4 linked regions of the Saccharomyces cerevisiae S288C genome follow. The gene in region 1 interacts genetically with each later gene. Each region holds a gene or a part of one and is shown in the gene's direction. Other genes may lie near its edges.

Region 1 (7,514 bases):
AGAGTGATATTATTAATGGTTTTCTTTTTTGGAATGTGATCTATATACATATTTAAATAGTCTCTTTTGTATTTGTGGTGTCATAATGAAACTGCATCACACCAGATGCTTACCCATACAGAAAGTCGATTGATTATGAAACTTGAAGTAGCGAAGATTACGGCACTCGAAAATAAATAAAAAGAGGAAATAAAAGAGATAGAATACAACTTATCAAAAGTTCCAGATAGCCCGTACCTGTTTAAATCTTTTTACTTAAAGCATCCTTCCTCTTTAACTCCTGCTCATGAGCAAGCTGAAGCTTGTGTTGCTGTACAGCTGGTGAATCAGAATCCACTGAATGTGCTGGACATGGCAGCACAGAACCGATGGCCACTGATGCGAATGCAATGAGAAATGTAGAAAAGTATAGGTTATTGACTATTTTGTTTCTAGTGACTGCTCTCATGATATGTGTCTGAATTAAACTAATTGGCCTTCCGTGCCTGTAAATTCAATAAATAAATAGGATGTTAAATTTTCCTAATGTGTCTCGAGGTGCTTATGTTATCGTGCAAGCGCTGAGTTCGAAACGCTGTTTTGATGAATATCCTATATATATCAAAAGTACAAACACGGGGAAAGAGAGCCATCCCATCAAAAAAAATAAAAAAAGAAAACCCTTGCAGAAGGAGAACTGGTGTAGAGGTTTCCGGTCTTAATGGACTTAAGCACGTGACTTTTAAAACCCATGCATCGGTTACTATGGTTACCATTACTTACGATTTTTTTTTTTTCGTTATGAACCCTGTGCCCGAGGGGTTTTCAGGCACATAGATCAAAGTTCTACTCGTTTACCTGTAATCTTGGCGCGTTTAGGTCTCTTTTTTTTTCTTTTTTTTTTCTTCTTTTTTCATTTGTACTGCGTTATAGTTGTTTATGGAAGGTACCAATGGTGAATATGGAAAAAATGAAGTCAAATAGAAGAAGAAAGAGAAGCTAGCTTTGAGGTAGGTACTGTTTTGAGGGTTTTTGGGTGCTTCAAATTTGTCTTCTCAACTACCTTATTATAGGGCTCAAAAATAATTGACGTCATCGCTACAAGTCAGATGTCGATGTTAAGAATCTGGAGTTGCATCGTACATTTCTTTTCCGTGCAGGCACTTGATTCACGAATAAAGCCAGACATTGAATTCAAAAGGCGACAAAGGATATTTATCAATTCATCTAAAGAAGAGAATGGTTCATCTTCTAGTGCCGTTACTGTTACCCGTAACCCTGTGCTCAGCTCTAATAGCCCATCTCCTCCGCTATGGAATACATGGGAATTTAGACTATATTATTTGGCGTTCACCGTAGTAGTTCCTTTCATGATAAAGGCGGCATTGGCTACGAGCTCCGAGTCTAATCCAAACTACTATAAATTCAGCGGACTGCTAGCCCATGGTTGGATTCTGGGCCGCAAAGTGGATAACAGCGATCCTCAGTATAGGTTTTTTAGATCCAATTTTTTTTTGTTGGCCATCTTAATATTACTACAAATTATATTAAAAAAGGTTTTTGTTAAATTTAGTAAAATTCCGAAAACAAAATTCGATTTTGCGTGTGGATTAGTTTTTGTCTGTTTCATGTACGGGATCAATTCTGTTAAGCTCTTTACGCATGCTTTTATTTTCTTCACTTTGGCACATTCGCTAAAGAGAAAGCGTTTGATAGCCGCTTTTGCGATTTGGTCCTATGGTATCTTTACACTATTCATCAATCAAAAAATGAAAAATCTCCCCTTTAATAATATTGCTATCATCCTAAGTCCCATGGATCAATGGTATAAGGGTATCGTTCCTCGATGGGATTTTTTTTTCAATTTTACATTATTGCGTTTGTTAAGTTACTCCATGGATTTTTTGGAAAGATGGCATGAACAATTGAGCCGCCAACCTTCGATAGATTACGATGATAGACGACCTGAATTCAGAAAAAGTTTATCTGGTTCTACTCTACAAACCATTTATGAGTCAGGTAAGAATGTTCTGGAGGAAAAGGAACGACTGGTAGCAGAACATCACATCCAGGATTACAACTTTATCAATTTTATCGCTTATATTACTTACGCGCCATTGTTTTTAGTGGGCCCAATTATCACTTTTAATGACTACCTTTATCAATCAGAAAATAAGCTTCCTTCGCTAACGAAAAAAAACATAGGCTTCTATGCCCTCAAAGTATTTTCGAGTTTGCTTTTGATGGAAATTATCCTACATTATATCTATGTGGGTGCAATAGCAAGGACCAAGGCATGGAACAATGATACACCCTTGCAACAGGCTATGATCGCGCTGTTCAACTTGAACATTATGTATTTAAAACTTTTGATCCCATGGAGGCTCTTTCGGCTGTGGGCCATGGTCGATGGTATTGATGCACCTGAAAATATGCTACGATGTGTGGATAATAATTATAGTACAGTGGGATTCTGGAGAGCCTGGCATACAAGTTTTAACAAGTGGGTAATCCGTTACATCTATGTTCCATTTGGCGGGTCCAATAACAAAATATTAACGAGCTTTGCCGTATTCTCATTTGTAGCAATATGGCATGACATCCAATTACGAGTGTTGTTTTGGGGGTGGTTAACAGTCCTTTTATTATTAGGCGAAACCTACATTACTAACTGTTTTAGTAGATATAGATTCAGAAGCTGGTACAGGTTTGTTTGCGGTATCGGTGCTGCAATAAATATTTGCATGATGATGATTATTAATGTCTATGGATTTTGCTTGGGTGCAGAGGGAACGAAGCTTCTATTGAAGGGCATATTTAACAATTCACATAGTCCGGAGTTTTTGACTGCGGTAATGGTAAGCCTATTTATTGCTGTTCAGGTAATGTTTGAGATTAGAGAAGAAGAAAAAAGACATGGCATCAACTTGAAATGTTGATCTAGTTATTAGATAAGCTATGAAAGTCAATCCTTTTAATCGAGAATGTAAATATGTGGAATACACAATTTTAACCAAAGTACTATATATGCGTTACAAGTAATTTAAATTTAAGTTCACCGAAGTAAAACTAACTGCAAGATTGTTACAAAGAACAATGCACTATTTAAATCACACAATGGCTATTGAAAACTGTAACTGTCAGAAATGCTGCATGTATCTATATGCATCACTAAGTTGCGACTTTTAAGAAACTTCCACAGTTCTCAACTCTTCTTTGTGCTTTTCACACATTTTCACAATTTTCCGAAATCTCCAAATTGAAAAAAAAATAAAAATAAAAAAAGGCAGGAGAAGACTAAGTATTCATTATTCGCTGTTTCATAAATAAAAGGATAAAAAGGTTAAGGATACTGATTAAAATGTTTGTCAGGGTTAAATTGAATAAACCAGTAAAATGGTATAGGTTCTATAGTACGTTGGATTCACATTCCCTAAAGTTACAGAGCGGCTCGAAGTTTGTAAAAATAAAGCCAGTAAATAACTTGAGGAGTAGTTCATCAGCAGATTTCGTGTCCCCACCAAATTCCAAATTACAATCTTTAATCTGGCAGAACCCTTTACAAAATGTTTATATAACTAAAAAACCATGGACTCCATCCACAAGAGAAGCGATGGTTGAATTCATAACTCATTTACATGAGTCATACCCCGAGGTGAACGTCATTGTTCAACCCGATGTGGCAGAAGAAATTTCCCAGGATTTCAAATCTCCTTTGGAGAATGATCCCAACCGACCTCATATACTTTATACTGGTCCTGAACAAGATATCGTAAACAGAACAGACTTATTGGTGACATTGGGAGGTGATGGGACTATTTTACACGGCGTATCAATGTTCGGAAATACGCAAGTTCCTCCGGTTTTAGCATTTGCTCTGGGCACTCTGGGCTTTCTATCACCGTTTGATTTTAAGGAGCATAAAAAGGTCTTTCAGGAAGTAATCAGCTCTAGAGCCAAATGTTTGCATAGAACACGGCTAGAATGTCATTTGAAAAAAAAGGATAGCAACTCATCTATTGTGACCCATGCTATGAATGACATATTCTTACATAGGGGTAATTCCCCTCATCTCACTAACCTGGACATTTTCATTGATGGGGAATTTTTGACAAGAACGACAGCAGATGGTGTTGCATTGGCCACTCCAACGGGTTCCACAGCATATTCATTATCAGCAGGTGGATCTATTGTTTCCCCATTAGTCCCTGCTATTTTAATGACACCAATTTGTCCTCGCTCTTTGTCATTCCGACCACTGATTTTGCCTCATTCATCCCACATTAGGATAAAGATAGGTTCCAAATTGAACCAAAAACCAGTCAACAGTGTGGTAAAACTTTCTGTTGATGGTATTCCTCAACAGGATTTAGATGTTGGTGATGAAATTTATGTTATAAATGAGGTCGGCACTATATACATAGATGGTACTCAGCTTCCGACGACAAGAAAAACTGAAAATGACTTTAATAATTCAAAAAAGCCTAAAAGGTCAGGGATTTATTGTGTCGCCAAGACCGAGAATGACTGGATTAGAGGAATCAATGAACTTTTAGGATTCAATTCTAGCTTTAGGCTGACCAAGAGACAGACTGATAATGATTAAACGCTCTGAATGCAAAGATTCAATGAGATTCTCTAAGAATTCTATTGATAAGATTTAAAGGTATTTGACAAGTAGAGATCTTTATTTTTTCTTGCATTTTGTCTAGAGAAATCTCAACTGACATACTCGACATGAAATTTTTGGTATTGTGTCTTTTATTCTATTGCTTTAAGAAAACTGTGACATATAGGGAAGACATGCTTAACAAGAAGATATAATTATATAATATATATATTATTAATAATAACATCCTTACTGCAGTCCTGTTGTGGGAGAAAATGGAGAGAGACTATGTTTCGTATCAATTCCTAAAATCAAAAAAAAAAAAAAAAAAAAGTTAAACAAGCACTCGCTGTTCATTTGTTTTACAAGTATTCATACTCTAATAGGTCATTGAGCTTCTTTTCTTGAGGAGAGATCCAATTTGAAGTCGGAATAAGATTTGCTTTCATTAGCGTAGGCAATAATTATGAGATAAATGGTGCAGCACTATTAAGTAGTGTGGATTTCAATAATTTCCGAATTAGGAATAAATGCGCTAAATAGACATCCCGTTCTCTTTGGTAATCTGCATAATTCTGATGCAATATCCAACAACTATTTGTGCAATTATTTAACAAAATCCAATTAACTTTCCTAATTAGTCCTTCAATAGAACATCTGTATTCCTTTTTTTTATGAACACCTTCCTAATTAGGCCATCAACGACAGTAAATTTTGCCGAATTTAATAGCTTCTACTGAAAAACAGTGGACCATGTGAAAAGATGCATCTCATTTATCAAACACATAATATTCAAGTGAGCCTTACTTCAATTGTATTGAAGTGCAAGAAAACCAAAAAGCAACAACAGGTTTTGGATAAGTACATATATAAGAGGGCCTTTTGTTCCCATCAAAAATGTTACTGTTCTTACGATTCATTTACGATTCAAGAATAGTTCAAACAAGAAGATTACAAACTATCAATTTCATACACAATATAAACGATTAAAAGAATGAGATTTCCTTCAATTTTTACTGCAGTTTTATTCGCAGCATCCTCCGCATTAGCTGCTCCAGTCAACACTACAACAGAAGATGAAACGGCACAAATTCCGGCTGAAGCTGTCATCGGTTACTTAGATTTAGAAGGGGATTTCGATGTTGCTGTTTTGCCATTTTCCAACAGCACAAATAACGGGTTATTGTTTATAAATACTACTATTGCCAGCATTGCTGCTAAAGAAGAAGGGGTATCTTTGGATAAAAGAGAGGCTGAAGCTTGGCATTGGTTGCAACTAAAACCTGGCCAACCAATGTACAAGAGAGAAGCCGAAGCTGAAGCTTGGCATTGGCTGCAACTAAAGCCTGGCCAACCAATGTACAAAAGAGAAGCCGACGCTGAAGCTTGGCATTGGCTGCAACTAAAGCCTGGCCAACCAATGTACAAAAGAGAAGCCGACGCTGAAGCTTGGCATTGGTTGCAGTTAAAACCCGGCCAACCAATGTACTAAGCCCGACTGATAACAACAGTGTAGATGTAACAAAGTCGACTTTGTTCCCACTGTACTTTTAGCTCGTACAAAATACAATATACTTTTCATTTCTCCGTAAACAACATGTTTTCCCATGTAATATCCTTTTCTATTTTTCGTTCCGTTACCAACTTTACACATACTTTATATAGCTATTCACTTCTATACACTAAAAAACTAAGACAATTTTAATTTTGCTGCCTGCCATATTTCAATTTGTTATAAATTCCTATAATTTATCCTATTAGTAGCTAAAAAAAGATGAATGTGAATCGAATCCTAAGAGAATTCAACAGCGTAAAATACAAAGAGGATAACGACAACGAAAAAAAATACACTCCCTGATTATGATGCCTCTGAGCTTGACATTTTCGTTGTCAACCAAGAAAACCATGAGCCAAAAAAGCGTCCTAACGCTCCCAGTAGCTTTTTCAAAACACTTTCATAATCTTCAGTATTGGCATCGCCTTCTTTTACAATTGACTTAGCGTTTTGATCGGCGGGTTTATCTATTTTCTGTATTTCTTCTTGTTCGGACATATCCGTATTTTCAGTATCAGAACCGTTGATCTCATGTTCTGATTCTTGCGTGTCGGTGACGTCTGTATCTTCATTAACTCTTGTGTTATCATTATCATTACCTTCAGATAGATTGTCTAAACCTTTGTCCTGTTTATTCTCTGTCTGTTCCTGAGAAAAGTTTGGAGAGAGCTCCTTATTCTCTTCTTTTGGATCTCTTTCTACTGGAACTTCGTTCAATGGAGCATGTTCATACTTTCTTTCTTTCCTGGTAGTCTCTTTTGCAAAAGCAGAACCATCTTGCGAAATAGCTGTTTTAGGGGAAGGAAACGTTACATTACCTTTTAAAGAAGGAGTTGGCGTCTCAGGGCCCTCATAGTACAACTCTGACCCATTTTCATTTGTATTGTGTGCAGTTTTGTCGCCCTCGTCCTTTTCTTCACCAGCGCTTCCGCCGTCCTCTTCGTTATTTAAAGTAGCAACATTGTTTTCATTGCTGTGCTCGTCCACCTCCTTTGGATACTCATCATCGGCAAACCAGTTACCGTTCTGATCTATAAATTTGAAATGTACCTTATCTTTATCATTATGTTTGGTTACCGAAGATTCATCAAATTTGTATTCCCATTTCCCGCTACTGGTATTTATTTTCATGGGTACACCTTCCCAATTGGTAAACTCCCCAGCGATCTTCAACTCTGGAAAGTCTTCCGCCGGATGATCAAATACAATGGTGACCATTATTTAGTTGCTTTGCCTATCTTAATGTTACAACCAAGTATGTATGTATGTACGTACGTATGCAAAGAAGTGGATATAGAGAAGGAAAGTAGGGGAGAGAGGGAAAGAACAAAAAAATTGAAGTTATTTGAGATAGTCTTGTATTATTTATCT
Region 2 (7,565 bases), on another chromosome or scaffold:
GTGCAATAATTTAAACAGATTTTTGCAGTTGACTCAGGACTAAGGGCAATTCTTGCCCAAACTACGGAACCCTGTTTCTGATCCGAAGGGCTTATAATCCATAGAAACCCTTACATTTGCTCACTGAAAACCCTGTGTCCTTATTTGGTATATATGATGCGAGGATTAAACGAAAACGGAAAATTTTAGGTTTGAGGGTCCCATTAGTTCAACTAAAAAAGAAAAACGAAAAAAAAAAAAAACAAAGTCAAACCATAAAAAGTTTTGAACTACAGAAAATGTAGGCTTGTCTATTCTCCTGAATTTGACTTTTTTTTTTTCTAACTTTTTCACACCCCTTCATTAACTAATTAAAACTGTCGTAGAATTTCCCTTCATTTTTATTCAGCCATCCTCAGTTAGGAACGATTGATACAGCCTTCATTCGTCATTTCGTGACTTGCATGTTGGATTGGAAAATTTGCTGGCGGAGCAAAGTCAAGACGTTCAGAGGGAATAGTAAATGAGATTGTACGAACCGGTGAATATATTTTGCTGGCTAGATTTTAAATGGCCATTGTGTTATTGCTCTATCAACATAAAAGAAAGTATATGTGTTTTCAGAATCGTAAAATTTGTGACAAACTAAAAATCAGTATCTTCATAAAAGTAGTAGAGACATTTCATAGGTACGTTCCGCCCTTAGATAAATGTGGCTGCAGTTCATAATGCAGTGTGTAGTAGAGATGATTCTGTTGATCATAAACAATAATATATAATTTCACTAGTACTTGTTCTTATATGCACATAACTCGCCGTATTATCTGGCCAAATGAGCTATAGAGTAACCCTTCTCTCAGCATTATTATAATACAATACCAATGCAAGGACATATGGAAAATGCTACACAAAACTATACTTTAGTGTATTACATAACTCATACCGCACTACCAGATATATGTCGTTACTATTTAAAGTGCGGTATGTAACATAGATAAAAATAAGTATATGTATATGTATAAAAATCTTGTCGTCACAATCATCAATCATTCAGATATGTAAATTCTGCCCTCCCATGGCTTCAATGTTCTGGAAGACGCATCAACTTCGCTTCTTGGGTAGTTTCCGAATTCCAACTTAAACGACGAGCTATTGTTTGGAATCGTGAAGTCAATCGAATCAGAGCTGAAGTTCAAAGCAGCAAACAATGTTTTGTTGTCGTATTTCTTTGTGAAGCTGAACAGTTTCTTATTGTCCAAATCAATAAACTCAAAATCATATCCATATACAGTAATATCCTTGTGTGCCTTTCTAAATCTCAAGGCCTCCTTCCAGAAGTTCAAAACCGAGTTGGGATCCTTGGATTCGTCTTCAGCGTTAATTCCTTCCCTGAAAGACTCGTTCAAGTAAAACCATGGTTTAGCATTAGGACCAGAAAAACCAGCATTTGGCTCCTCACGAGACCATTGCATAGGTGTTCTAGCATGGTCTCTGGAAATAAGGGCAATTGCTTCCAAAAACCTCTTCATCTCCTTCGAGTTTTCTCCATGCTCTTCCTTGATCGCATCATAGTTATTTCTAACTTCGACATCCTCGTATTTTTCGATAGGCCAGTTCTTGAAATTGATTTCACCCAGTTCCTGTCCTTGGTACACATATAGAGTACCGCTCAGTGACACCAACAACACAGACAACAACTTACCAGAAATAACACGGTTCTTAGGAGAATCGTCACCAAATCTGGTAATTGAACGAGGTTGGTCGTGATTTTCCAGATAAATTGTTGACCAACAATCAGTTCCGTTAACGTATCTGAAAAGTTCAGCAAGGGCAACCTTCCAATCCTTTAGTTCATATGGGATCAAATTTTGACGGAACTTGGGCGAAGTCCCGACATCAGTGTGGGAAAAGTTGAATAACTCACTAAGTTCGTGTCTTGATGCACTTGTATACAACCTCTTGGTTTCATCAGTAGCATGTTGCATTTCACCAACTGTCATAATTTCTCTGCCATCCTTCACTCTGTTTCTGATGAACTTGTTCATTTCTTGATGAAACTCATGGATACGTGGTCCGTTCATTGTGAAAGGATCACTGGGTTGCCACTTTGAGTTTTCGTCAATCACAGGAGCGTCTGGTAGACCAGCAACCTTGGAGTACAAGCTTCCCACATCAATTCTAAAGCCGTCTACACCATGGTCTAACCAGTATCCAACGGCACTTTCGTAGATTGCCTTTCTACAGTCCTCATTCTCCCAATTCAAATCAGGTTGGGTGGAGCAAAACAAACGCAAGTAAAACTCTTGTGTCTTTTCATCGAACGTCCATGCAGAACCACCGAAGTAAGACCTCCAATTGTTTGGAGGAATTGGCTTGCCTTCGGCGTCATAACCCTTAGGAGGTCTCCAGAAGAACCAGTCACGTTTTGGATTGGTTTTTGAGGATCTGCTCTCTTTGAACCATTCATGTTCGCTCGAGCAATGGTTGATGACTAAGTCGGTGATAAATTTCATACCAAGCTTATGTGTCTTTTCGATCAAGGCAAAGCAGTCCTCGTTCGTACCGTAGGTTGGCCAGACCTTTTCGTAGTTGGCAATATCGTAACCCATATCATCTTGTGGCGAGTCGTAGAATGGTGAGATCCAAATGGCATCGGCACCAAGCTCTTTGATATACTCCAACTTGGAGGCAATACCCTTCATATCACCCCACCCATCGTTGTTGGAGTCTTTGAAACTTGCGGGATAAATTTGATAGATTGTGGCCTCTTTCCACCACTTGGGTTCTGTTTCTGGATGTGCAGAAGAAATAGTCATTGTACGTTGCTTTCTTTTCTTTATGAAAAAACTTTCACTTTTGTTTGTGTGTTTGGACTGGTGAATGGAACATATATTCTAGTACAGCTAATTCCTCGAGTGAAGAAGTCTTTCTTACTTATATATGTCTTTTACGTGCCTATGGACGTCTTACGAATGATCGAAAATAAGAAAAGAACAAAGTAAATTTAGGATCTGGAAGGAGTGCTGTATGTAAACGAAGCTTTCAGTTTTAGGTAATGTTTGCACAACCTACATGATATAACATGGTATGTTCTGCAAGAGCGTGCCTGGCCCTTGGCCCGTTATAGCAGATCATACCATCTGCAAGCAGACCCCATTATTGCACTGCCTCCGCAATCTTGCGTATACGTAGTCCCACGACAAAGTACGAAGCGTAAACTGACCTTGTTCAGTTCCCCACAAAAATTACATAACCATTTCTCCGCGGAATTACATAATCATTTCTCCGCGAAAATTACATAATCATTTCTCCGTGCGAGTTATAAGTGCTTTTCTCGTGCATCCCTTGGCACTTCACAAAACCTTCTTTTTCTTTTTTTTCTTTATTTCAGGGGAAATCAGTGCAAAACTAAAAAAGAAAGAAATTTTGTGAAATGTAAACTCCAGGTGTCAAAAAATAAATTATATCCGTGGAAAATCAGGCGTCGGAAATTGTAGATGAAACCGCCTCCTCCACAATAAATGCTGACCACACGAACAATGCATACACTCGGACACCTTCGTTCAAAGTATCAGTAGCAGTTCGACACACCGTATACTACTTAGCTCTTAAGGTCTAGGCTCATCTTTCTCAGTTCCTCTTTTTCGCTAATTAAAGGTATATAATGTCACAGTTGTGTAACTAGAGAAGAGCACACTTGTTCCTATCTTTTTCTTCTTCTTTTTTTGGTATGAGTTGAAAAAAATAATCATTGCACAATTTAGTTCTAAACGCTTTTGTTATTACTCAATATCATGTCAGGTGTTAATAATACATCCGCAAATGAGTTATCTACTACCATGTCTAACTCTAACTCAGCAGTAGGCGCTCCCTCTGTTAAGACTGAACACGGTGACTCTAAAAATTCCCTTAACCTAGATGCCAATGAGCCACCTATTGACTTACCTCAAAAACCCCTCTCTGCGTATACCACCGTCGCAATCCTGTGTTTGATGATTGCATTTGGCGGCTTCATCTTTGGTTGGGATACCGGTACCATTTCTGGTTTTGTTAACCTTTCTGATTTCATCAGAAGGTTCGGTCAAAAAAATGACAAGGGAACCTACTACTTATCGAAAGTAAGAATGGGTTTGATCGTCTCAATATTCAACATTGGCTGCGCCATAGGCGGAATTGTCTTGTCAAAAGTCGGTGATATATATGGTCGTCGTATTGGATTGATTACAGTTACTGCCATTTACGTTGTAGGCATCCTAATCCAAATAACTTCCATAAACAAGTGGTACCAATACTTCATTGGAAGAATTATTTCTGGCCTAGGAGTGGGAGGCATTGCTGTCCTTTCCCCAATGTTGATATCTGAAGTTGCTCCCAAACATATCAGAGGAACTCTGGTCCAATTGTACCAGCTGATGGGTACGATGGGTATTTTTCTAGGATACTGTACCAATTACGGTACCAAGAACTATCACAACGCCACTCAATGGAGAGTCGGCCTTGGTCTTTGCTTTGCCTGGGCTACATTCATGGTTAGTGGAATGATGTTTGTACCAGAATCACCACGTTACCTGATTGAGGTTGGTAAAGATGAGGAAGCGAAACGTTCACTATCGAAATCCAACAAAGTCTCAGTTGACGATCCAGCCTTGCTAGTTGAATATGACACTATAAAGGCAGGAATTGAACTTGAAAAGCTGGCAGGTAACGCATCATGGTCTGAACTACTCTCCACTAAAACAAAGGTCTTTCAGCGTGTTCTCATGGGAGTGATGATCCAATCGCTGCAGCAATTAACCGGTGACAACTACTTCTTTTACTACGGTACCACCATCTTCAAATCTGTCGGTCTAAAGGACTCCTTTCAGACTTCGATCATTATCGGTGTGGTTAATTTTTTCTCTTCATTCATAGCGGTATACACCATTGAGAGGTTTGGACGCCGTACGTGTCTATTGTGGGGTGCTGCTTCTATGCTATGCTGCTTTGCTGTGTTTGCCTCCGTCGGTGTGACAAAGTTGTGGCCTCAAGGAAGCAGTCACCAAGACATTACTTCTCAGGGCGCCGGTAACTGTATGATTGTGTTTACTATGTTCTTCATTTTTTCGTTCGCCACCACTTGGGCAGGCGGCTGTTACGTTATTGTCTCAGAGACGTTTCCTCTTAGGGTCAAATCAAGAGGAATGGCAATCGCAACAGCTGCAAACTGGATGTGGGGTTTCCTGATTAGTTTCTTTACCCCATTCATTACCGGGGCAATCAACTTTTACTACGGTTACGTATTCTTAGGCTGTCTGGTTTTTGCATACTTTTATGTCTTTTTCTTTGTCCCAGAAACAAAAGGCCTGACACTGGAGGAGGTGAATACTATGTGGCTGGAAGGTGTGCCAGCATGGAAATCGGCCTCATGGGTGCCACCGGAGAGAAGAACCGCAGATTACGATGCTGATGCAATAGATCATGACAATAGACCAATTTACAAGAGGTTCTTTTCCAGCTGATCTTCTAGTTTTCGGTAAATTGGTAAAAAAGCAAAAAAAAAAATTGACGAAACTAATTCTCTATTATACATAATGTTTTTACTTTTGTACCCTTTAATTTCTAATGAATGTTTTATGGAAGCTTCAATAAATGCGTGACTGGCTATAGTTGTCGGATGGCAATCCATTATTATGTATACCGTATTATTAAGAGTGCAACTAGGCCCGACTATAAATCTAACACTCAGATCCTTGTACTGTAATGCATATTTATTTTTTCACAAGTTGCATGCTAATAATACCATGATATTTTTTGAAGCCTTGAAAAATAGTTCAAGCAGCTACGATATCATGAATCAATATACTCATTGCAGCCTATGTAATATATATAGGTTCCGTGTTACCACTCGTTTCTGATATTTTCGATATGGCTACACTGGGTTTTTCATGATGGAAATGTGATACTACCAGTTCCAATATATTTATCTTCCTTATCTATATGACACGCTGTTATTTTAGTTCAAGTCAGTGTCCAATTGGGGTGAGTGTCACGTGCACAACGACGGTAGTCGTTGGATGTGCTAAATGATGTTCTACTGCCAATGACTGCAAATACGTTCGAAGAGTATAAAATCGAAGGAAACGAATTAAGTTGCCAATCCTTACTGTAACTATAGCATGTTACATATATGTACCATAAGTATCACATTAAGGTTTCGCCATAGCCATGTGCCTATATTAAATAGAAATATCACATGGCGATCCACGGAATGTTTATAGATTTTCTTCTTTTGTCTATGGCCCGGGCGAGACATTAATTTATCTTGCTGAAAAATTCGAAAGTTAAAACTCAATTATGCGTGGGATTTCTCAATTAGGTTACCAGAATTTCAATCTGCTGAAGAATTATGTCTTAAAAAAAAAAGTCCCGCCTCAAAAAAGCCAAAAAGGGTGTGACTGTAGATTGTGGGTTACTTGCTGTCAAATGACATGAAAATCTCTGCCTGCATGATCCCTGTCAAAATTCGAAAACACGCGGTCATAAAATTGTGCCTCAAAAAGATATCTTTTCCTGCGGGTTCTCTTAGTAAATGAGGTTAGGTTGTTTCCTATTCTTACGAGATTTCCCTTGTTCTCGCCGCTCACATCATTGTCGGTAAGATCTTCCGTAGTGGCAGGTCAAGCAGTGAGGAAGAAAGATCGGCAGTAAACTGATAAGAGCCAAACCGAAAAGTTTCTTATACGCAAAAACGCTTTGAAAATTCTCCAAGAATCCTATTTGAAACTCTTATTAATAAATAAAGTATAAATATAATAAAGTTTATTGTGAGACATGTCGCGATAAGCACCCCTTGTCTTTCTTGGAAGGGAGAAATTTGTAATATAAAGCCAAGTGTTCAGAACTCGATTTTTTTCTGACCAAAGAGCGGAAGCTCCACTATAAAAGTTGGGAGGTACTTTTAGGTTCTCTTAAGTTCGCATTTAATTATGGCCTGAACGATTTTACTGTGGACAATAAGTGAAATAAGTGTCCTTAAAATGTGTACGATGTGTACACATCAACCTAGTCTCCCCTTCATTGGCAGAAGAGGGAACCATTTCATCCAAAAAGAATAAAAAAAATAAAAAAAATCCAAATATTAAGCTAAAAAAATACTTAACTGTTTACACAAAGCGTATATAAAACGCATATTAAGAACCTATCTCGTTTCAGAGGAATAAACTTTTAATTCCTCAGTTAAAAAAATTAGTTAAAGAAAGCAAGAACGAAAATACCGACCAATGCATTCAAAGTATTGGCATTCAAACCTGCGGCAATACCCTCGGACTGGACAATGATACCAGTAGAGGTCTTTATTGGAGCTGCAGATTTGGAGTATGTGGAAATTGCACTAGAAGCCTTGGAAATGGCAGTAGTCAATGAGGTTGCTTTAGAACCCTCAGAAGTGACAGTAGTGTATGACTTTGGAGAAGCACTAGTTGCGGTGACGGTTGAAGTAGCTTCAGGTATTTGAGAGGTGATTATCTTGACGTTACAACCATTGTCATCACATTGAGTAACAGTGGCAGTAGTGTATGTCTTAGGGGCAGCACTGGTTTCTGAAGTTT
Region 3 (7,798 bases), on another chromosome or scaffold:
TACAAGAACCGATACCGTAGAAATGAAAACATCAACCTCTTCATCGACATTACGTTTGTCTGATAATGGAAGTTTCAGCAGGCCTCAAACAGCAGATAACTTATTGCCGCATAAAAAAGTAGCACCCTCTCCAAACAAAAAACTTTCAAGATCGTTTTCTTTGAAGTCCAAAAATTTTGTTCACAACCTGAAAAGTAAAACTTCGGAAATGCTGGACCCAAAGCATCCCCATCACAGCACTTCTATACAGGAATCAGACACTCATTCTGGCTGGGGTGTTTCCTCTACTCATACAAATATAAGAAAATCAAAAGCCAAAAAAAATCCTGTATCAAGAGGCCAAAGTGACAGTACAATATACAATACTCTACCACAACATGGAAATTTTACAGTACCGGAGTTTAATCACAAAAAAGCGCAAAGCAGCCTTGGCAGTATATCCAAAAAGCAAAATTCTAATGATACAGCCACTAATAGACGCATAAATGGTTCATTTACAAGTTCAAGCTCGGGGCATCATATAGCAATGTTCCGTACGCCGCCTTTGGAATCAGGGCCATTATTTAAGAGGCCATCTCTGTCATCTGAGTCCGCACACCACAGATCTTCTAGCTTACAGACGTCTAGATCCACTAATGCATTGTTGGAAGACGATTCCACGAAAGTGGATGCTACTGATGAAAGCGCTACAAGCTTGGAAAAGGACTTTTACTTTACTGAGTTGACTTTAAGGAAGTTAAAATTAGATGTGAGGGAACTAGAAGGTACGAAGAAAAAATTATTACAAGATGTTGAAAATCTAAGATTAGCGAAAGAGAGGCTGTTAAATGATGTTGACAATTTAACAAGAGAAAAGGATAAGCAATCTGCATCTTCCCGGGAGTCCTTAGAACAAAAAGAAAACATTGCAACATCAATCACTGTAAAGTCACCAAGTTCAAATTCCGACAGAAAAGGGAGCATATCTAATGCCAGTCCTAAACCACGCTTCTGGAAAATATTTTCAAGTGCTAAGGATCACCAGGTAGGCGATCTAGAATCACAGCAACGTTCGCCAAATTCATCTTCAGGCGGAACGACAAATATAGCACAGAAAGAAATATCATCACCGAAATTAATTCGAGTACACGATGAGCTTCCTTCTCCAGGCAAAGTACCACTGTCGCCAAGTCCAAAGAGATTAGATTATACGCCTGATGGTTCCCATTTATATGGATCTTCGCTACAAGCTCGATGTGCGTATGAAAAAAGTACTGTTCCAATAATTATCAGGTGCTGCATTGATCGCATTGAAAAAGATGATATAGGCCTGAACATGGAAGGCTTATACAGAAAGTCGGGCTCACAGACTTTGGTTGAGGAGATCGAAAATGAATTCGCTCAGAATAATTCGTTGCATAGTGATACATTAAGTCCCAAACTGAATGCTTTACTGAATCAAGATATTCATGCAGTGGCTAGCGTATTAAAACGATATTTGAGAAAACTACCAGATCCAGTTTTATCATTTTCCATATACGATGCCTTGATAGATCTAGTTAGAAATAACCAACTAATTGAGAGGCTACCATTAAACAACGACAAGTTTTTGGATTCACCACAAAAAGTGACTATTTATGAAATGGTGCTCAAAAGCCTACTTGAAATTTTCAAAATTTTACCCGTAGAGCATCAGGAAGTATTGAAAGTATTGGCAGCACATATCGGCAAAGTTCGAAGGTGCAGTGAAAGAAATTTAATGAACTTACATAACTTGTCGTTGGTCTTTGCACCGAGTCTTATCCACGATTTTGACGGCGAGAAAGATATTGTGGACATGAAGGAGAGGAATTATATCGTGGAATTTATACTTGGAAACTATAGAGACATATTTAAGCAAGCATAATACAGATTTGCAAAAGTTAAATAAACATAGGATAGATTAAATAAGAAATCATATGAAAAAAGAATAAAGTAAGAAAATAGTTCAATGTATATTCGTCAGTTCAGGGTGTGAAAAGGTGGCAATTTTTTTGTTTCCGACCCGTAACAAGTGTTCAATGGTGGTGAAGTCTTTTCTTGGCAAATTTCTATACTTCCCAAATTCTTCATGAATATAATTCACAAAATTAACTTGGTTTTCCTTTGGTTTTGTATGAGCCGTTCGTATGGAAGCCCTATACAGGTGTAAGACTTCTTTTTGTAACCCACTTAATCTCTTAGGCATGCTCTTGGTATTGCGTCTCCTCTTCTTCTTGTGTGTTTAAGCTACATTATCTTTGTTAAGAATAATTTGGCGAACCCCTTTTTTTCTTCGGCTTTGCAAGGTTAATTAATTAACATCTACCAGTTTTACTACATTTTAGATTGGTTCGTCCACCGAAATTTAAAAAAGCAGGATTGAAAGCGTACAACAACGTCTTAGCGAAAAAGATAATCCAAAATTCGATGCTTGTACACCTCATGTAGCTTCCTTATTAACATTTGGTAGTAGGCTTAGGCTATTTTTTGAAAAAGCCGTCATATATTACTTTGAGCCTTTGCGAATCCTCTCCAAAGTGTCGGTTACCTACCGGGAGGGATAACCGCGGATAGCCGTCATTTACCGAAAATTGCCGAGGTCATGCTGAGCATTTGTCGTACTTTTGTGCGGCGGAGCTTTGATACCTTCGGTAAGTGTCGGTATGTAATAGGTTAGTGGCATCTTATTTATTGTGTTGAGTAAAGTTTAAGATATAAACTGGGCTAGTTTGCATCGTCACTACAGCGGCAGCTCACTTTCATTTTTTTTCTGCGTTTATTAATACTACATAAAATCTGATATAAAACATATTTAACTGATCAACCCTCTCAACTTGATACTCAAAACAAGTTGACGCGACTTCTGTAAAGTTTATTTACAAGATAACAAAGAAACTCCCTTAAGCATGGCACCTGTTACAATTGAAAAGTTCGTAAATCAAGAAGAACGACACCTTGTTTCCAACCGATCAGCAACAATTCCGTTTGGTGAATACATATTTAAAAGATTGTTGTCCATCGATACGAAATCAGTTTTCGGTGTTCCTGGTGACTTCAACTTATCTCTATTAGAATATCTCTATTCACCTAGTGTTGAATCAGCTGGCCTAAGATGGGTCGGCACGTGTAATGAACTGAACGCCGCTTATGCGGCCGACGGATATTCCCGTTACTCTAATAAGATTGGCTGTTTAATAACCACGTATGGCGTTGGTGAATTAAGCGCCTTGAACGGTATAGCCGGTTCGTTCGCTGAAAATGTCAAAGTTTTGCACATTGTTGGTGTGGCCAAGTCCATAGATTCGCGTTCAAGTAACTTTAGTGATCGGAACCTACATCATTTGGTCCCACAGCTACATGATTCAAATTTTAAAGGGCCAAATCATAAAGTATATCATGATATGGTAAAAGATAGAGTCGCTTGCTCGGTAGCCTACTTGGAGGATATTGAAACTGCATGTGACCAAGTCGATAATGTTATCCGCGATATTTACAAGTATTCTAAACCTGGTTATATTTTTGTTCCTGCAGATTTTGCGGATATGTCTGTTACATGTGATAATTTGGTTAATGTTCCACGTATATCTCAACAAGATTGTATAGTATACCCTTCTGAAAACCAATTGTCTGACATAATCAACAAGATTACTAGTTGGATATATTCCAGTAAAACACCTGCGATCCTTGGAGACGTACTGACTGATAGGTATGGTGTGAGTAACTTTTTGAACAAGCTTATCTGCAAAACTGGGATTTGGAATTTTTCCACTGTTATGGGAAAATCTGTAATTGATGAGTCAAACCCAACTTATATGGGTCAATATAATGGTAAAGAAGGTTTAAAACAAGTCTATGAACATTTTGAACTGTGCGACTTGGTCTTGCATTTTGGAGTCGACATCAATGAAATTAATAATGGGCATTATACTTTTACTTATAAACCAAATGCTAAAATCATTCAATTTCATCCGAATTATATTCGCCTTGTGGACACTAGGCAGGGCAATGAGCAAATGTTCAAAGGAATCAATTTTGCCCCTATTTTAAAAGAACTATACAAGCGCATTGACGTTTCTAAACTTTCTTTGCAATATGATTCAAATGTAACTCAATATACGAACGAAACAATGCGGTTAGAAGATCCTACCAATGGACAATCAAGCATTATTACACAAGTTCACTTACAAAAGACGATGCCTAAATTTTTGAACCCTGGTGATGTTGTCGTTTGTGAAACAGGCTCTTTTCAATTCTCTGTTCGTGATTTCGCGTTTCCTTCGCAATTAAAATATATATCGCAAGGATTTTTCCTTTCCATTGGCATGGCCCTTCCTGCCGCCCTAGGTGTTGGAATTGCCATGCAAGACCACTCAAACGCTCACATCAATGGTGGCAACGTAAAAGAGGACTATAAGCCAAGATTAATTTTGTTTGAAGGTGACGGTGCAGCACAGATGACAATCCAAGAACTGAGCACCATTCTGAAGTGCAATATTCCACTAGAAGTTATCATTTGGAACAATAACGGCTACACTATTGAAAGAGCCATCATGGGCCCTACCAGGTCGTATAACGACGTTATGTCTTGGAAATGGACCAAACTATTTGAAGCATTCGGAGACTTCGACGGAAAGTATACTAATAGCACTCTCATTCAATGTCCCTCTAAATTAGCACTGAAATTGGAGGAGCTTAAGAATTCAAACAAAAGAAGCGGGATAGAACTTTTAGAAGTCAAATTAGGCGAATTGGATTTCCCCGAACAGCTAAAGTGCATGGTTGAAGCAGCGGCACTTAAAAGAAATAAAAAATAGAAACTTGTGGGCGCAATTATAAAACACTGCTACCAATTGTTCGTTTTCTGTTCATTAACACATAAAAAACCCTTATGTAACTATATTTACAAAGTAAATACGTATATTAAAGCTATTTTACCACTACCACAGAGTTCTTTGTCCAGTTGCTAGTATTTTTTTTTTCGCGACGAGGCAGGGGCGGGGAGACGTGTTGTTTTTCCACGGCTTTCGGCTCACCACTTGAAGAACTATAAAAGGCCGCCAAATTTATCCTTTTTCACTTCTTCCGTTCGCTTTTTTCTGTCATTCCTATCGTGTGTTTAGTAGTAGGTTTTTTTGTTAGAAGAAGTTTTATCCGAAAACTATCGAAGACAAATAGATAAAAAAATCTCCCTCGTTCTATTTGAAACTTTAAGAAATCCATATTAAGAAAATACCTACATCTGCTAAATGTCTGCTAACTTAGATAAATCCTTAGACGAAATCATTGGCTCTAACAAAGCAGGAAGTAATAGAGCCCGTGTCGGTGGTACTCGTGGTAACGGTCCAAGAAGAGTTGGTAAGCAAGTTGGTAGCCAACGTAGGAGCCTTCCAAACAGAAGAGGCCCTATCAGAAAAAATACTAGGGCACCTCCAAACGCAGTCGCTAGAGTTGCCAAGCTCTTGGACACCACTAGAGAGGTCAAGGTCAACGTCGAAGGTTTGCCAAGGGACATTAAGCAGGATGCTGTAAGAGTATGTTAATACGTGAAATGAGAGCTATTTGTTTAGTTACTCGCATCGTCTCGTGTGGATACGAGAAATATTCTTTGTAAGGAAGGATATGGCACACGCTTTTGATCAAGAATTCTCTTTTTAGAGATGAAGAAAGAGTCCGAAATACTTCGCTAGAGAAAATACAAAAAGAGTATCGTTTTCATAAGCCAACCATACCAATTTTTTTCAATACTTCAAATCATGGCCTATAAGGTTGGAATTACCAGCTACCACTGAGAATGGGTTTGTTCTTATTGGCTGGGTTAACTCAAATCAATCTGACTATCTGCTAATCTGTCAATCTTACATTTTTAAGCTGGCGTATTGTGTCGCCTCGACCGTGATAGTTAGTTCCTATTTTTAATAAGCGTATCATCCAATACTGAAGTTGTGGAAGGATCAATTAATTTTGTATCCTTTCAAGAGGGAGTAGCTTTCAGTTTCGAATGGCACCATTTTCAAAAAATAGCTATGGGAAACATGTCTTTCATGAACGTTCGAAAAGATATGAGTGCATCGCTTCATTTTTTTATTATGATAGTTACAAAAATATTTGATTTGAGACACCTAATGAAACCAAAGAGGAACTCACCCATCGTGGTACATGTTTATTTGAGGGTTTATTTTTCCTACGCAATGGTATACTTTTAATACTCTCAACTCCTTGATTGTTTGTGTATTGTCCCTTCCTTCTTTGATTTTATATCATAGAGATATATGACTAACTTTTTTTTTTTTATTATAGGAATTTTTTGCATCTCAAGTAGGTGGTGTTCAAAGAGTTTTGTTGAGTTATAACGAAAGGGGCCAATCTACTGGTATGGCTAACATCACATTCAAAAACGGTGAATTGGCCAGAAGGGCTGTTGAAAGATTTAACGGCTCTCCAATCGATGGAGGCAGATCAAGATTGAGACTTAACCTAATCGTTGATCCAAACCAACGCCCAGTCAAAAGTTTAGCCGACAGGATCAAGGCTATGCCACAAAAAGGCGGAAACGCTCCAAGACCAGTAAAGAGGGGTCCAAATAGAAAAGCTGCTATGGCAAAATCCCAAAACAAACCAAAGAGAGAAAAGCCTGCTAAGAAAAGTCTTGAAGATCTGGACAAGGAAATGGCGGACTATTTCGAAAAGAAATAATTAATTGTCAATTTTTTGTTTGATTTAATTTGGTTTTATTAAATTTAATTTTTCCGAGTTTCATTATGTATTAGTTTCCAGAAAATTTAAAGGATTAAAAAATGTATTAATAAAACTTTGATATGTTTATGTAATAATATTTACCACCGCCACTAGGTGACGCTAACCTACTCATCGGTGACGGCTTTTCTCACTTTTAAAGTTTATTCGGCATATTTGACTCATAATATGTCACTATTTACAGTGCGATGAATATATATATACATAATACTGCATTGAAAAAATGGATAGGTTGATTAAACGTGTGTTACTCGTTTCTCCTCCTATCTAAAAAACCTAATTTGTCACCTCTTTTTCTTGTTACAGCACTAAGCCCGCTACCTTCATATTTACTCTTTCTTACTAATTGATGGTCCTCAGAGCAATCAATGTTGTCTCCTCCATCTTTAGGTATGGGGAACCCTGGTTTGACTTGAGCAAGGTTATCATAATAGTTTTTTTCATTCACTTCACCATTGTTTCCCCGCGCCTTTGGTATAAATTTAGCATCTCTTCTAGCTTTCACTATGGTCTTGACCACATAAATAGACGCAATCCCGGCTGCAGAAATGTATAGTAAATTCTTACTGTTGAAATCGCATTGGTAGTGTTTTCCTACTTTCGTCTTCACTTTGGTTATATATATGGTGCAATCAAACTCTGCTTCAAGGGATAGGCCAATAAGGAAATAACCAAAAAAGAAGTCCGGGAAATAGAAAAAGATATCCAATGTTAGTTTAGGCTTTACGAATAGATGTTTCCCTATTTCTTTTACACATACCCTATATTTTGAAATGGATTTGACATTGTATACTTAGTACGGCTCAAAGAATGAAATATTACTATATTTATCTCTTCATCTGCCTTGATTTTTTTATATGCAAGCAGGACGCTCGGGTTTGTAAGGAGGAAGATTGAAAAGGATGTCTTCAACTAAAAGGCGAAGAAGGAAGCGACACATTTGTGATGCTTTGAGGTCAGTAATGTAATATATATATATATATATATATATATATATTATATAGTGTAACTGCTCTTATTTATCTTGTCTATTCGAACCCAACAA
Region 4 (8,072 bases), on another chromosome or scaffold:
TAACCCCCTTTTTGTTTCTCTAGAGGAGTACTTATCGGTAAAATATTCCAAACCCTTCCCTTTATATATGTAGATAAACGAAGATATTCTAACTCTCTCACACTTATAAAATATCGAGCCTGCAGAAGGTCATAAATATTTATATACAAATGGGAAAGTACTTAACGATCCGACTTGATCAATATCAAATATCGTGGCCTGGTTTACATTGAGAACGGGCACTATTTCTTTGGACGAAATGTTGCTTAGGCAAATTTTGAAGTGAGACATTGCTCGAGAATTTGTTACGTAGACTAAGTCAGCATCGCCAATGATCATTAAGCAATTGGTCGTCTCAGATGTGATCCTGCAATTATGAGTCCTTTCAAAATTAGATACACACTCTTGGGAAAACTCAACTAAGTATTTGGTGTGAGGAATCTCTTATCGATGCGTATACCTTGTAGTCGCAAACGTTATAAAATTTTGTAATTTTGGCGAAATGGCACGGATTGGTTAAAATTGTCGGGCTCATATGCGGTAGCGCTAAGTCCTGCTTGGTCAAGCTAGGAATTACATGGCCAGAGGGATGATATTGATCATGCTCCGAGTTGTCTTCAATTAATGCCTTTATCCATGGTTGTAGAAAAACTGAGTCTGTTGGCTTTGAATGAGACTCCAGAATTACTTTCGGCATTGTTTACTTGTTATCCCGATTTGTACCCAGGATTTACAGCTTTTAATTCATTATCTATGGTCAACTTTTGCTGTCTAGTTTCATATTTACTCGCTACCGTTTCACCAACTGTAGTCATCAGTTATGGTAAAAAAATCTCCGCGACGGGGAATTGAACCCCGATCTGGCACGCGACAAGCGCCCATTCTGACCATTAAACTATCACGGATTTGTTTCTATGAAAATTTCGTTTATTTGTATAGTATATGTTTTTTTAAAATATAATGAGAATCTGGTAGAAAAGTGTTGATAACTAGCAGTTTAAAACGTATCATTTGTTGAAATAAGTACCAACTATCATCCGTCGACTAGTACTCACACAACTATTGAGAAATTCGTAAGTTTTGTAAAACTGTTGGATACCGTTGCTGTTGAAGGCTATAGTAATAGGCATACAAAATTAGCGGAAGTTTACCTTGGAAATATATCCACAAAAGGGAAACGATATTTCCTCATAATAATATTGTAATTTCTTTTTCTTTTTATATGTTTCATTATCCTATACATTACCAATACTTGCATTTGAGCATTCATTAAATCTGATGGGTACATCTCAATCTTTCTGTCATCTTTTTATAGCATATATGGTAACATGCTAGTAGTATGAATACTAGTCGATATACGTAAATAAATTTTCATTTTAAAATGGATATGCCTAATCTGATAGATTCTATTAGCTGATTTTTCTACTACTTTTCATGTTCGTTTTTCAATAATTTGCAAGTTATATATCTTTGCCTCCGCTATACCGTGATGAAGGTTAATGCGTAAGTTGCAGGCGAGGCATGATATGGACCACAACCCAGTTCGAACATAAAGAACTGAAAAACCATGAGCTGTTTGATTAATTCAAAACAGCTGCTCACAATTTGGCCCAAGTTCAAACCTTTGTCTTTGAAGCATGGAACGTGCCGTTATTTTCATGCTAGTGTAATTTTTGCCTGTTTCATCCCTCCCATCAAAAAATTCATCACGAAGTGCTAAAGGAAAACAAAAAAAATATCAAAGAGAGGAGACGGCTTAAAAGCCCTTATTCAATTGAAGAAATCCCCTGACCTCTGCAAAAAATCTATCGTTTATTTTATTTCTTTGTCTTACGTAACAAATTTATTTTCTGGGATGATGTCAATTCTATTTGGCACGCGAGTCATCGTCTATATAAGGAGGTAACGAGGTCCTTGTATATTTGATGATCCTCACTATCAACACGTCGAGGGACGGTTGGTGACGAACTCAACTTATGTTATAGTTTTGGACCACTCTTTTCCTTGAAAAATTACAGGCATTATACGCAGTCCTGGGGCAGGAGCGCTTCGATCATTAGCATAACAGGATCACGGTTATCACCTGTTTTGTTATAATTCATGGCCTTTAGGTCATGACGTAAAATAATCGGAGTGAAAAAATGAAATCAAAGGCTATCATTTTTAGGGGAACTAAAGCACAAGGATTTGAAGGCGTAGTGAAATAATGAATAATAGATAATCTATGGACCGAACACAGACGTATTTAAAGACAATACAAGGCCATTAATTCCCTTCGGAGGGCTCCCGATGGGAGGATTCTTAGCATGCTCTTTCTAGCCAACAGTATCACTTTCATCAGAAAACGGAAGCCTCCAAAAAGCTACGCTAAACGCTTTTTTGTTTTGGATTATCGCAGAAAATTGGTGACATTCTTGATTAAGAATAAACGGTGACTAGCAAGAAAAGGACATGTCAGGTACCAGTAAAGTCCGATTTAAGATCAAATCAGCGCCTTTAAAGAATCTTGAGATCTTAGTAATCCCGATGGAAGGAAAGAGGTAAACAAACGAATAACTTAACCCTTAAGATGATTCTATACATAGCATGATCTATCCAAGGAACGACCGACGCCCTTAAAAGGGTTCTGCTCAGATTTCGTTAAATACCCGGACCATCGTAGATGATTGTTTTTACTCTCCCCTAACGATGTACTATGCCATAATAAGCATTTTTTTTTTCTTTCTTCACTGCAGCTCTGCTTTGAAAACACTACATCTAAGGCGCTGACGCCAACGCCCAGACTAAATCATCATATAATATCAAACGCCCAACAAAATATTAGAAATAGCTCAACAATAGAGCGCCAAAAGTTTACCGGAACGAACCATCATTGTTTACAGGCAAGCACCCATTTGGAAGGGTACGTAAACTAAATAAATAAGACAAGAAATTTTTTTTATATCTGGAATTTCCTTTGCATTTTAGTGATCCCACCATTACAGATAACTAAACCAGGATAAAAAACAAAAATAATGACATTAATGATACCTTAACTAACGTATAGCAAGCGAAGCAACCACCCATCAGATTTTTGTCCCCGTTTGGAAACTGGAATGCTATGACCACTTTTATCACTACAGCTAACCACTTGTCGGAATGAAGATACGAAAGAGAAATCTTTATTGGACCACTTTTTCTTTCGCTAGAGGTCCTACCTAGCGTATTGCACCCAAGTGATTATTGCGACCTCTGAGTGTCAGAAACTTACGAAGTAAAATTCATAGTTGTGCCTTTCGTCAAGAATCGGAAAGCGTAAAAATAGGCTACGGTCTTTGTCAAGGCGAAATTTTGGAGATTTCAGACGCATGATACCAGCAGTTTTTGGTAATATACTTTTTCAGGTAAAAGCTTTCTACGGCCACTGAAAGTAATGCAGAAGCTTAAGGCTACAGATGAAATGGCCGACCCAAACTAACCAAGCACAACATCAATTACAGAACCGACAATCGAAAATCCTAAAAAAAAAGAACATCGAGTGAACTTTTCGTTATCTCAAAGCTTTAAAGTTAAAAGTGGCAGAAGCCTTGGCTATTCTGTTTCTCTCTTAGATTCTCGCACGACAGCATCGAGCGAAGTTGCAAAACCATATATTTCAGTTCTCTAAACGATCTTTCCCCGAACTCCAATCGAAATAGACTTAACCCGCAACATAACTGACATTCTTCCTCTTTTTTTTTTTTTTTTTTTTTTTTTGCTATTTGCTTTCTGCATGCATAAAAGCGAGACTAGCGTATTAACACTTTATCACTTTCCCTCTCTTCCTGAAGCTGACATGAGCATACATCAATGTCCGAACAACACTCTGTCGCAGTCGGTAAAGCTGCTAATGAGCACGAGACTGCCCCTAGGAGAAATGTTAGAGTCAAGAAGCGGCCCTTAATTAGACCATTGAACTCGTCAGCATCTACGCTGTATGAATTTGCCCTAGAGTGTTTCAACAAGGGTGGAAAACGAGATGGTATGGCTTGGAGAGATGTCATCGAGATTCATGAGACAAAGAAAACCATTGTGAGAAAGGTAGACGGCAAGGATAAATCTATAGAAAAGACATGGCTGTATTATGAAATGTCACCATATAAAATGATGACCTACCAGGAACTGATCTGGGTGATGCACGATATGGGCCGTGGGCTGGCAAAAATAGGCATCAAGCCCAATGGAGAACACAAATTCCACATCTTCGCATCTACTTCCCATAAATGGATGAAGATTTTCCTTGGTTGCATATCCCAGGGTATCCCCGTAGTAACCGCGTATGATACTTTGGGTGAGAGCGGTTTGATTCACTCCATGGTTGAAACCGAGTCTGCTGCTATTTTCACTGATAATCAATTATTGGCTAAAATGATAGTGCCTTTGCAATCTGCTAAAGATATCAAATTTCTTATCCATAACGAACCTATCGACCCCAATGACAGAAGACAAAACGGCAAACTTTACAAGGCTGCTAAGGATGCCATTAATAAGATCAGAGAAGTTAGGCCAGACATAAAAATTTATAGTTTTGAAGAAGTTGTCAAGATAGGTAAAAAAAGTAAAGATGAGGTCAAACTTCATCCACCTGAGCCAAAAGATTTGGCTTGTATCATGTACACCTCGGGCTCGATCAGTGCACCAAAAGGTGTAGTATTGACTCATTATAATATTGTTTCGGGTATCGCTGGTGTAGGTCACAACGTCTTTGGATGGATCGGCTCTACAGACCGTGTTTTGTCGTTCTTGCCATTGGCTCATATTTTTGAACTGGTCTTTGAATTCGAAGCCTTTTACTGGAACGGTATTCTTGGGTACGGTAGTGTTAAGACTTTGACTAATACTTCGACTCGTAATTGTAAGGGTGACCTGGTTGAGTTTAAGCCTACTATTATGATCGGTGTGGCTGCCGTTTGGGAAACTGTGAGAAAAGCTATTTTGGAAAAGATCAGCGATTTAACTCCCGTACTCCAAAAGATTTTTTGGTCTGCCTATAGTATGAAAGAAAAGAGTGTACCATGCACCGGGTTTTTAAGTCGTATGGTCTTCAAGAAAGTCAGACAAGCCACCGGTGGTCATCTTAAGTATATTATGAACGGTGGGTCTGCGATCAGTATTGATGCTCAGAAATTCTTTTCTATCGTCCTGTGTCCTATGATTATCGGTTACGGCCTTACTGAAACAGTTGCGAATGCTTGTGTTTTGGAGCCTGATCATTTCGAATATGGTATAGTTGGTGATCTTGTTGGATCGGTCACTGCCAAATTGGTGGATGTTAAGGACCTAGGTTATTATGCAAAAAACAATCAAGGTGAATTGCTTCTAAAGGGTGCGCCGGTCTGTTCTGAATATTATAAGAATCCAATAGAAACGGCGGTCTCTTTCACTTACGATGGATGGTTTCGTACTGGTGATATTGTTGAATGGACTCCCAAGGGACAACTTAAAATTATTGATAGAAGAAAGAATTTGGTTAAAACCCTAAATGGTGAATATATTGCATTAGAAAAGTTAGAATCTGTTTACAGGTCAAACTCCTATGTGAAAAATATCTGTGTTTATGCCGATGAAAGTAGGGTTAAACCGGTGGGTATTGTGGTACCCAACCCAGGACCCCTATCTAAATTTGCTGTCAAATTGCGTATTATGAAAAAGGGTGAAGACATCGAAAACTATATCCATGACAAAGCATTACGAAATGCTGTTTTCAAAGAGATGATCGCAACAGCCAAATCTCAAGGTTTGGTTGGTATTGAACTATTATGTGGTATTGTTTTCTTTGATGAAGAATGGACACCTGAAAATGGCTTTGTCACATCTGCTCAAAAATTAAAGAGAAGAGAAATCTTAGCCGCTGTTAAATCAGAAGTCGAAAGGGTTTACAAAGAAAATTCTTAGAGAGAAGCTTATTACCTTCCCCTTCCATCTATGCACGGTGTCTCGTACTTCCATAGAGCACCGATTAGTGAATACTAAAACTATGTGCGTGATAAATGGTTCTCTTTTACAGATGCGGTAAATCAATTATTGATATACTACATAACATACAAACATGTTTCATTTCCGTAATACAAATTACAATTGTATAATTAAAAAATATAAAAAACTTCGTGATATGAAATCACATTTTGCTATTGAGTTTGCCACATGAGCGGTATACGAACTATTCGTTATTTTATGACTTTAAAAGCCATACCGAAAGTAGGCTTGAGAAGTATGACTACTGTAGGAGTGACCACTACTGTTAAATGCAGATAGCCGTCTTATGCTCTTCCCTTGTTCTTCTGAATTGGGAATGCATAGCTTGAAACATCAATCTTAATAAGGTCTTGTTTGTTTCTGCTTGGCTTTCATAGTAGCAAATAGTTTCGACCTTAATGTAAGAAATAAAAGCAATCGTTAATTTGAGTAAAGATAACCACTCTTCCTCTTCTACTATCAATATAATAAGAATAACGCTTATGGTTTATTTTAGCTTTTTTGAAAGCTAAACATTAAAAAAGAATAAAAATGCACGGCATACCTACATATTTTAAAAACATATATTTTATGATTGACTTTAGCAAAAGTTGGCGCTGGGTACTTTGAGACTCTTTCCTACAAAACGTTACCAACACTTGCTAGTCTAATCTAATCTACTTAATCAAGGTTTTAGTGGCGTACCATGTGACGGCCATCAAATGCCATCAGTTCTACAAGTTCACATATATTTATATATAACTATTCTCCTAACTTGTATAATATTATACCGAGACAGAGGATAGATTCAATTGATTTCACATACCGGATTATGTTCCTTCCCAAGTTCTCAATCTTATTTAGACTTTTTTTTTTAATTACATTGTCGCCCACTTCGGCAGAAAAAATATAACGACAAAGTAATGGCATCGCATCGACCTAATGAAATACTACTGGCAGACGGTATGGAGAGCTCAAAAATTCCCAAAGCAGAAAACAATACTGATTTCTGATACTAAAACGAGATAGGTTAATAGCAAAATCGGGATGGTAAACGTGAAAGTGGAGTTTCTAGGTGGACTTGATGCTATTTTTGGAAAACAAAGAGTACATAAAATTAAGATGGACAAAGAAGATCCTGTCACAGTGGGCGATTTGATTGACCACATTGTATCTACTATGATCAATAACCCTAATGACGTTAGTATCTTCATCGAAGATGATTCTATAAGACCCGGTATCATCACATTAATCAACGACACCGATTGGGAGCTCGAAGGCGAAAAAGACTACATATTGGAAGACGGTGACATCATCTCTTTTACTTCAACATTACATGGTGGTTAAAAATAGCAGCAAATAATTTTTAAGAAGCAGCTACATATATATATATAAAGTGCTGTACAGCTTGAATGAATCACAAGTTAGATAACGTAGGTAATATGCAGATAGTATAAAAAGTAATAGTAATAACTGGATTGGTTTTTTTTAGTACATGACGAAGATTATAGCTCTTGTATCCTACAACCCAAAAGACCTCTACCATTCCAGTTTCTCGAAGGTGTTAGCGATGTCTTTAGGATTTGCCCTTCTCTCAAGAGAAGGACGGGAAGTGGCCTGTCTTCATTTTTCATTACAACCATCTGAATGTTTTGAAGTTTAGAGTGGTTTGCCGCATGCACATTACCAATAGAAATCAGCTTATCATCAACCTTTATGTCTGCTTTATCTGAAGGGCTACCGGGTACTACCTCACTGATAAATGCAAAAGGGATGGTATACTGAATAGCTTGATCGTCGTTATTCCTTCTTGCATCTTGGTTTGACTTAACGTTCATATTATCAAAGTGCTGGTTTAGTAAGACGTGTGATCTTTGCAAAAGGTGATTTAAATCATTCTTCAGCATATTAACATTCTTTCTGATCATAGTGACTTGCAATACATCGACATCCGAACGAGGATACCCGTCTGGCGTCACCAACGCAGAGTCCATGCCGATGCCTTGCTGCTCAAGCACACTGAAATACGCCTCTAGTTGTGTCTCAATATCTGTCTTTAGAACCATCAATTCCGACAGTTTGAAGCTGTCTATTTGACTAATTCTTGATGTTAGGCTCGG

The links.
Region 2: mutations in POS5 (region 1) and HXT11 together harm fitness less than expected from each alone (positive genetic interaction), as found in Saccharomyces cerevisiae (one large-scale study listed by BioGRID).
Region 3: mutations in POS5 (region 1) and ARO10 together harm fitness less than expected from each alone (positive genetic interaction), as found in Saccharomyces cerevisiae (one large-scale study listed by BioGRID).
Region 4: mutations in POS5 (region 1) and FAA3 together harm fitness less than expected from each alone (positive genetic interaction), as found in Saccharomyces cerevisiae (one large-scale study listed by BioGRID).

The regions. Positions count from the first base shown.
Region 1 is NC_001148.4:188,066-195,579, forward strand, and holds POS5 (NADH kinase), read left to right. Parts: upstream 1-3,340; coding exon 3,341-4,585; downstream 4,586-7,514. Other genes in the region: COA2 (Coa2p), read right to left, coding at 242-448; GUP2 (putative O-acyltransferase), read left to right, coding at 1,089-2,918; MF(ALPHA)1 (Mf(Alpha)1p), read left to right, coding at 5,583-6,080; UIP4 (Uip4p), read right to left, coding at 6,447-7,361. UniProt on the Saccharomyces cerevisiae protein: Phosphorylates both NADH and NAD(+), with a twofold preference for NADH. Anti-oxidant factor and key source of the cellular reductant NADPH.
Region 2 is NC_001147.6:21,500-29,064, forward strand, and holds HXT11 (hexose transporter HXT11), read left to right. Parts: upstream 1-3,773; coding exon 3,774-5,477; downstream 5,478-7,565. Other genes in the region: oligo-1,6-glucosidase IMA2, read right to left, coding at 1,026-2,795; YOL155W-A (uncharacterized protein), read left to right, coding at 5,585-5,719; HPF1 (mannoprotein), read right to left, coding at 7,204-7,565. UniProt on the Saccharomyces cerevisiae protein: Probable glucose transporter.
Region 3 is NC_001136.10:1,231,312-1,239,109, forward strand, and holds ARO10 (phenylpyruvate decarboxylase ARO10), read left to right. Parts: upstream 1-2,906; coding exon 2,907-4,814; downstream 4,815-7,798. Other genes in the region: GTPase-activating protein RGA2, read left to right, coding at 1-1,885; SDH6 (Sdh6p), read right to left, coding at 1,967-2,206; RNA-binding protein YRA1, read left to right, coding at 5,247-5,531, 6,298-6,693; COI1 (Coi1p), read right to left, coding at 7,001-7,319, 7,514-7,539. UniProt on the Saccharomyces cerevisiae protein: One of five 2-oxo acid decarboxylases (PDC1, PDC5, PDC6, ARO10, and THI3) involved in amino acid catabolism.
Region 4 is NC_001141.2:335,537-343,608, forward strand, and holds FAA3 (long-chain fatty acid-CoA ligase FAA3), read left to right. Parts: upstream 1-3,807; coding exon 3,808-5,892; downstream 5,893-8,072. Other genes in the region: ubiquitin-related modifier URM1, read left to right, coding at 7,000-7,299; NAS2 (Nas2p), read right to left, coding at 7,458-8,072. UniProt on the Saccharomyces cerevisiae protein: Activates endogenous long-chain fatty acids (LCFA) by esterification of the fatty acids into metabolically active CoA-thioesters for subsequent degradation or incorporation into phospholipids.